Linked DNA regions of Macaca mulatta. The protein of the gene in region 1 interacts with the protein of each later gene in a biochemical or structural test. Links are inferred from orthologs where the notes say so. Each region holds a gene or a part of one and is shown in the gene's direction. Other genes may lie near its edges.

Region 1 (3,651 bases):
AACATTAGTTCCTAACCCTGTCTACACATTATAATCACCTGGGGGGTACGTTGAAAAAATTTCTAGTGCCTAAGATGCACCCCAGACCAGTAAAATTAGAATTTTTTTTTTTTTTTTAAGACAGAGTCTTGCTTTGTCACCCAGCCTGGAGTGCAGTGGCACGATCTCACTGCAACCTCTGCCTCCTGGGTTCAAGCGATTCTCCTGCTTCAGCCTTCCTAGTAGCTGGGACTACAGGCACATGCCACCACACCTGGCTAATTTTTTGTATTTTTAGTACAGACAGGGTTTCACCATGTTAGCCAGAATGGTCTCAATCTCCTGACCTGGTGATCCAACTGCCTCGGCCTCCCAAAGTGCTGTGATTACAGGCGTGAGCCACCACGCCTGGCCTCTGTCATTTTTAAAAAGGAGCTGTCTGAATAATCTGGCTTAGAAGCACTGGCCAGTGCAGAGAGTTTTTGTTCTTAGGCCAGGTTCTGAAGCTGCCAACCTTGAAAACAACCCCCACATGTCCCTTACATCATAATGTTCATCTGGGGCCCCTGATAGCATTCTTAGCAGTACTGGCTGCTGTCAGGTAGACAGCTGAGATGATAGGTGATTGTATGTTTTAAAGGTACAGGAGGGGATTGTGTATCTTTTTTAAGACCCCTGGAGAAGAAATTTGTTAGTTTGCATTATGCCTGATTTAAGATTACTGCCTGTATGATGATTTTAGCATTTTCTTCGCCCCGGCTCCTTTTCAGCAACTTGAACATTTTTCTTCCATTTGCCTCCCCTTCCCTCCCTATGTAGCAAACTATTTTCAGTTGCCAGTTATGATTTACAACTTAGTCCATGTGCCAGCATTCCAGCTGTGAGCAGCTGTGTGAACATCTGGGAACTTCTTCCCCGTAAGCGCCCCTAAAAGAGGCTATGTTTTTAAAAGTCAGTATCTCTCATTGATCCATGCATGGAATTTCCTTCCAATTGTGGATTTTGGTATCTTTGGGGACCACCCGGACCCCAAATGCTTTGTATGTCTCAGAGGAAAGCAAGTGAACATAAGATCAAAGAGATTTTATTATGAAAATCAGGCAGTAGATATTTAGTTCATTTGGGCACCTCTAAATCTTTTTTTTGTGTTGTCACTGGAGAGGCTAACATTATCTTCCATAATAAAGTTTTTAAAAATTCTCTAGTTTAGGCCGGGTGTGGTGGCTCACACCTGTAATCCCAGCACTTTGGGAGGCTGAGGCATGTGGGTCACTTGAGGCCAGGAGTTCGAGACCAGTGTGGTCAACATGGTGAAACCATGTTGAAAATACAAAAATTAGTCAGGCGTAACTGGGTGTGATGGCTCCCGCCTGTAATCTCAGCACTTTTGGGAGGCCGAGGTGGGATGGATCACCTGAGGCCAGGAGTTTGAGACCAGCCTGGCCAACAAGGTGAGACCCCCATCTCTACTAAAAATGGAAAAATTAGCCAGGTGCAGTGGCATGCACCTGTAATCCCAACTACTCGGGAAGCTGAGGCAGGAGAATCACTTGAACCTGGCAGGCGGAGGCTGCAGTGAGCCGAGATTGCGCCACTGCACTTTAGCCTGGGCAACAGAGGGAGACTGTCTCAAAAAAAAAAAAAAAATTACCTGGCTTGTATAAAATTTTGCTTTTTGGCTCTCATCAGTATTATTACACCTGGATTAGAACCTGTGCTCCTTGTCTAGATTGTATTACTGCATTTAGACCAAGTTTCAGTACTCATCTCATCAATTATCAAATTTTCTTCTTTCTGTCTTAAGAGACAGGTTCTCACTATGTTGCCCACCATGGAGCACAGTGGCATGATCATAGCTCACTGCAGCCTCGAACTCCTGGGCCCTGGGCCTCAGCCTCCTGAGTTGGAGTAGCACACTTCAGGTGTGCACCACTGTGCCCAGCTAATTTACAGAGACAGTTGCCTATGCTGGTCTCCAACTTCCAGTCTCCTCCTGTCTCAGCCTCCCAAAGTGATGGGATTACAGGCATGAGTCACTGCACCAAGCCAGTTTTTTGTTTTTGTTTTCTTTTTTGTTTTTGTTTTCAATCACAGTCCAGTTCTGCCTTCTAATGCTAGCAATCATCTACATCCAGAGGGGATAGGCATTGACCCAGGGCCTTCTGTCCAACCAAGCATATAAGTATTGGTGTTTGTGATCTCTGAAATTTTGCTATTTAATAGTATTGGCCTTGCATAATTCTTATCTCTATTCTTTCATAAATATAGGCGACTGTGAAATGTGTTAAAATTATTGGTTAGTGTTAAGGTAAACTAAAAGTCTAAAAAAATAAAGATTGAGAGAGAGGTAGTATATTTGAAGTTCATAAGATGAAAAGATATAGTTAGGGTAAACAGGGTATTCTTTAACATTTCAGAAGCTTATTTACAATATTAAGGAGATTCCAAGTGAGTGGGATTAGAGGAATTCCTAGATGTTGACTCCAGAGTATCTTTTTTTTTTTTGAGACGGAGTCTTGCTGTGTTGCCTAGGCTGAAATTCTGTGGTGCGATCTCTGCTCACTGCAATCTCCGCATCCCAGGTTCAAGCAATTCTCCTGCCTTAGTCTCTCGAGTAATTGGGGTTACAGGCACCTGCCACCACGCCTGGCTATGTTTTTGTATTTTTAGTAGAGATGGGGTTTCACCGTGTTGGCCAGGCTGGTTTTGAACTCCTGAGCTTGTGATCCGCCCGCCTCGGCCTCCCAAAGTGCTGGGATTACAAGCGTGAGCCACCATGCCTGGCTGACTCCAGAATATCTTATAGGACATTAGAGACTTTTAGGGTTCACCTCCAATCTTCTGGAGGAATTCCAGGAAAGATAATCACATCTTTTTTTTTTTTGAGACGGAGTCTTGCTATGTCGCCCAGGCTGGAGTGCAGTGACCGGATCTCAGCTCACTGCAAGCTCCACCTCCCGGGTTCACACCATTCTCCTGCCTCAGCCTCCCGAGTAGCTGGGACTACAGGCGTCCGCCATCTCGCCCGGCTAGTTTTTTGTATTTTTTAGTAGAGACGGAGTTTCACTGTGTTAGCCAGGATGGTTTCGATCTCCTGACCTCGTGATCTGCCCGTCTCGGCCTCCCAAAGTGCTGGGATTACAGGCTTGAGCTACCGTGCCTGGCCGATAATCACATCTTACAAAAATATCTCTTGGCATCACTGTCACTTCATTGTCACTGTCAGTACTTAGTATTAAGTTCTAAAAATTTTTCTGAATTGGTGACAGAAATGATATCAGGAGATATTAACTTAGGTTGTGTTTTGTTGAGCCTAGAAACAGGGAGTTTCTTTACTCTTTCCACAAGCTGTAACCTTTCTTCGTCTTCTATTTATAGCAGAGCAATGATATCGCTCGGGGCTTTGAGAGAGGACTGGAACCAGAAAAGATCATTGGGGCAACAGATTCCTGTGGTGATTTAATGTTCCTAATGAAATGGTGAGAGAGATTTGGCTTCATGTTACAATTGTGTTTCTTTGCCAGTGACTTGAATTTGTGCGGAAGATAGGGTGGCAAGATTGTGTATTCCCAAACCATGAATTTTCAATGTCAGAGATTTTTTTTTTTTGAAACAGTGTTTCGCTCTTTGTTGCCCAGGCTGGAGTGCAGTGGCGCAATCTCACTCAGCTCA
Region 2 (3,651 bases), on another chromosome or scaffold:
TCTGCGCCTTGACCTTAGCCTGGATGAATCCCACCAGCACCCCGCTGTGTGCGTCCATGGTGCCTCCTTTCTCCCATTGCTGGAAGACCCCATCGGGTCTCTTCTTGATTTCAGACCCTGGCCGGCTCCTGTGGGAAGTTTGCCCCCTTTGAAATTAAAGAGCACATGGTCCTGGCCCCTCGGCGTCGGACCGCCTTCCATCCAGACCTCTGCAGTCAGCTAGACCAGCTCCTCCAGCAGCAGAGCGGCGAGTTCTCCTTCTTGAAAGACCTCAAAGGCCGGCGGCCCCTGAGGTCCGGACCCACCCAGGTTTCCACCCGGAATGCAGATATTTTTAACAGGTCAGAGCCTGAGGAGGTTGGCCTTCACCCACTAGTGACGCTGGAGGGCAGCATCCTGAACCCTGGGGTCCCCGAGGTGGGAACTTGGGGTCCTTCTGCTGCTTGCCTCCTAGTGCCCTCGGGCCCTGGACTTCGGTGCTGACTAAGGCCTCTCTCCACCTGGCCTTCCTGTGAGCCCCTGAAGTCTTCCTCTCCCTGTCTTCCTTGCTCTTCCCGGAGGAATCTTACTTCCCTGCTGGTCTCCAGTGAAGGATACCCCTCCCTTCCCCCCATCTTGCAAATTTCCTGTTTCCACAGAACCTCCCTTGGTAAAAATGCTCTGCAGCTGCACCTGGGCAGCCTTCTTCCCTCTCCCCTGCAGGCTGCACCCTCCTCCGTCTGTCCTTCCAGTCCATGTTCCTGACCTTTCTTTGGGGATAGGCAATGCTGCTTTTTAACAAATGCCCATCTTTCTAGAATTGTTAGGCCATCTTCACTGGGAGGTTCCCGAGAGGTTTGTGAGCACGTCTGTAAGGCAGCGCAATCCTGAGCCTGGGGTTTTCCTTCTCAGTGACGTCGTGATAGTGGAGCGTGGGAAGGGCGATGGCGTTCCCGAGAGGAGGAAGTTTGGCAGGATGAAGCTCCTGCAGTTCTGTGAGAACCACCGGCCGGCCTACTGGGGTACCTGGAACAAGAAGACGGTGCTCATCCGCGCACGAGACCCCTGGGCCCAGGACACGGTGAGCCGGCCCCGGAGTGCCTCTGTCCCTGCATCTCCTCACTGTGCCCCTTTCCTCCAGCCCCGAAGGCAGCTGTGAGTCCCGTGTGTTTCTTTTCTCAGAAGCTCCTCGACTATGAGGTGGACAGTGATGAGGAGTGGGAAGAAGAGGAGCCCGGGGAGTCCCTGTCCCACAGTGAGGGGGTAAGGATGTGCCCTAGCTGTGTTCACTGACAGATGGCTTGTATTTGAGTCCCTGTCCCACAGTGAGGGGCTAAGGACGCAGCCCAGCTGTGTTCACTCACTGACAGCTGGTGTTTGACCTGCTGTGCGGCCTGAAACCCGAACGTACCTCCTCTCCCAAAATCTCATCTGGTGACACTCGCCCACATGGCTGCTGGGGGTGGGAGCCCATCCGCATCTGCACCATGGCCCCACAGCCCCCTCTCGCCTCCTGCCGGCCTGCCACGCACCATTTCCACCTGACTGCCCAGCTGCTGTGACCTAGTGGGCTTTCTGCCGACGCTCACAGTGTCTGTCAGGAGGCCATGCCGAGCAGATGTTCACAGCTTTACATTTTTTTGTTTCTTTAAGACAGAGTCTCACTCTATCGCCCAGGCTCGAGTACAGTGGCGTGATCTCAGCTCACTGCAACTTCTGCCTCCCAGGCTCAAGTGATTCTTCTGCCCCAGCCTCCAAGTAGCTGGGACTACAGGCGCCCGCCACTACGCCCAGCTAATTTCTTTTTTGTATTTTTAGTAGAGACGGGGTTTCACCATGTTAGGCAGGATGGTCTCCATCTCCTGACCTCGTGATCCACCCATCTCGACCTCCCAAAGTGCTGGGATTACGGGCGTGAGCCACCGTGCCCGGCCAAGATTTGTATTTTTAGTAGAGACGGGGTTTCACCATATTGGCAAGGCTGGTCTGGAACTCCTGACTTAAGATGATCCACCCACCTCAGCCTCCCAGAGTGCTGGGATTAGAGGTGTGAGCCACTGCGCCTGGCCTACTTTATGTTTTTAACAAGGCATATACTCTGCTTTTCTATCTGCTGAACTCTTTTTTTTTTTTCTCCTTTTGAGGATGATGACGACGACATGGGAGAGGATGAAGATGAGGACGATGGTTTCTTTGTGCCCCATGGGTACCTGTCTGAGGACGAAGGTGTGACAGAGGTGAGGGAGTGAAGAGGGAGTCACTGGCTCAGAAAAAGCTCATTTCCGGACTGGTGCTCAGTGGCCTGACCTGGCAGGGTGACGGGGGTCCCAGCCCAGCCATACGAGATTTGGACTGCCTTCTCAGCAAGCAAGCTCACTTGTGGGAATGGCTGGGCCTGAACTTGGTATTACCTGGAAGGGTGGCAGACAGAGGAGGAGCTTGCAAGTGAGGGGAGCCATAGGAGGAGACACCCTGGTGAGGGAGCGTGGCCGTGGTCTGGGTTAGAAGGCTGGAAACCACCCTAGCTGACATACAGTCAGCATGCAGCAAGACGTGTGCATCATAAGTTTGCATTTGATGACTTACAACAATCAAGTGAATGTGGGTAACCACCACCCAAAATAAAACATAGAACTTCCCTGTCTCTCCAGAAGACTCCCCACGTCTCTGCAGGTGAACCTGCCTGCCACCCCTTTCTGGATTCCGTAAGGTTGTGGAACTTTCTTTCTTTCTTTTTCTTTTTTTTGTTTTTGAGACGGACTCTCATTCTGTTACCCAGGCTAGAGTGCAATGGCCTGGTCTTGGCTCATTGCAACCTCCACCTCCCGGGTTCAAGCAATTCTACTGCCTCGGCCTCCCGAGTAACTGAGACTACAGGCATGCGCCACCACAACTGGCTAAGTTTTGTATTTTTAGTAGAGACAGGGTTTCACCATGTTGGCCAGGCTGGTCTTGAACTCCTGACCTCAGGTGAGCCACCGCACCCGGCAGGAACTTTCTTTCAAGCAAGTTGTTTTGGGGCTCTGAAGGCCTGTCATTTGGGAAATGGGATTTGGTGGGAGTATCTCAGGCCTGTTGTTTGGGAAGTGGGGATTTGGTGGGACTGTCTCATGGTTGTGTTGGAGGGCTATGCATTCCTTGTGCATATCTGACCACCAAGGCCTGAACTGTCTGTCAGAGAGTGGTCTCAGGCCCTACATGTGTCTGCCAGATGCCCGGGCCATGTGGGTAGGCACCCGACCCTGTTAAACAGCTCCACGATCACACATTCACCAGAAATTCAGAGGGGTGTTAAAAGAGGCCTCATGGGTGAGCTCAGAAATATCTTGTGACTCTCCCAAAGGAGACCAGGTGTGAATTACTCCATCTGGAAGAGGGGCAGCCAGCGCACGGTGTGCTCTGCCCTGGCCCTGACACTGTGAGTTTTGCGCCCCTGTCCTTTCCTCTGGCTCCCCAGCCAGCTGAGACTGGAACCTCAAAAGAGTGCCCGGGCATAGGGGAGCATGAACCCCAAATAAACTTCTGCTTTCTAACCCACAAGGAGTGTGCCGACCCTGAGAACCATAAGGTCCGCCAGAAACTGAAGGCCAAGGAGTGGGATGAGTTCCTGGCTAAGGGGAAGCGCTTTCGCGTCCTGCAGCCCGTCAAGATTGGCTGCGTGTGGGCAGCTGA

Evidence for each region.
Region 2: the proteins of CBX5 (region 1) and CHAF1A form a complex in vitro, tested with the Homo sapiens proteins (2 studies listed by BioGRID). The link is inferred for Macaca mulatta from reciprocal best matches to the Homo sapiens genes CBX5 and CHAF1A.

Annotation. Positions count from the first base shown.
Region 1 is NC_133416.1:61,432,347-61,435,997, reverse strand, and holds part of CBX5 (chromobox protein homolog 5), read left to right. Parts: intron 1-3,357; coding exon 3,358-3,458; intron 3,459-3,651. UniProt on the Homo sapiens protein: Component of heterochromatin that recognizes and binds histone H3 tails methylated at 'Lys-9' (H3K9me), leading to epigenetic repression. In contrast, it is excluded from chromatin when 'Tyr-41' of histone H3 is phosphorylated (H3Y41ph).
Region 2 is NC_133424.1:5,262,157-5,265,807, forward strand, and holds part of CHAF1A (chromatin assembly factor 1 subunit A), read left to right. Parts: intron 1-114; coding exon 115-341; intron 342-891; coding exon 892-1,060; intron 1,061-1,161; coding exon 1,162-1,242; intron 1,243-2,123; coding exon 2,124-2,216; intron 2,217-3,520; coding exon 3,521-3,651. UniProt on the Homo sapiens protein: Acts as a component of the histone chaperone complex chromatin assembly factor 1 (CAF-1), which assembles histone octamers onto DNA during replication and repair.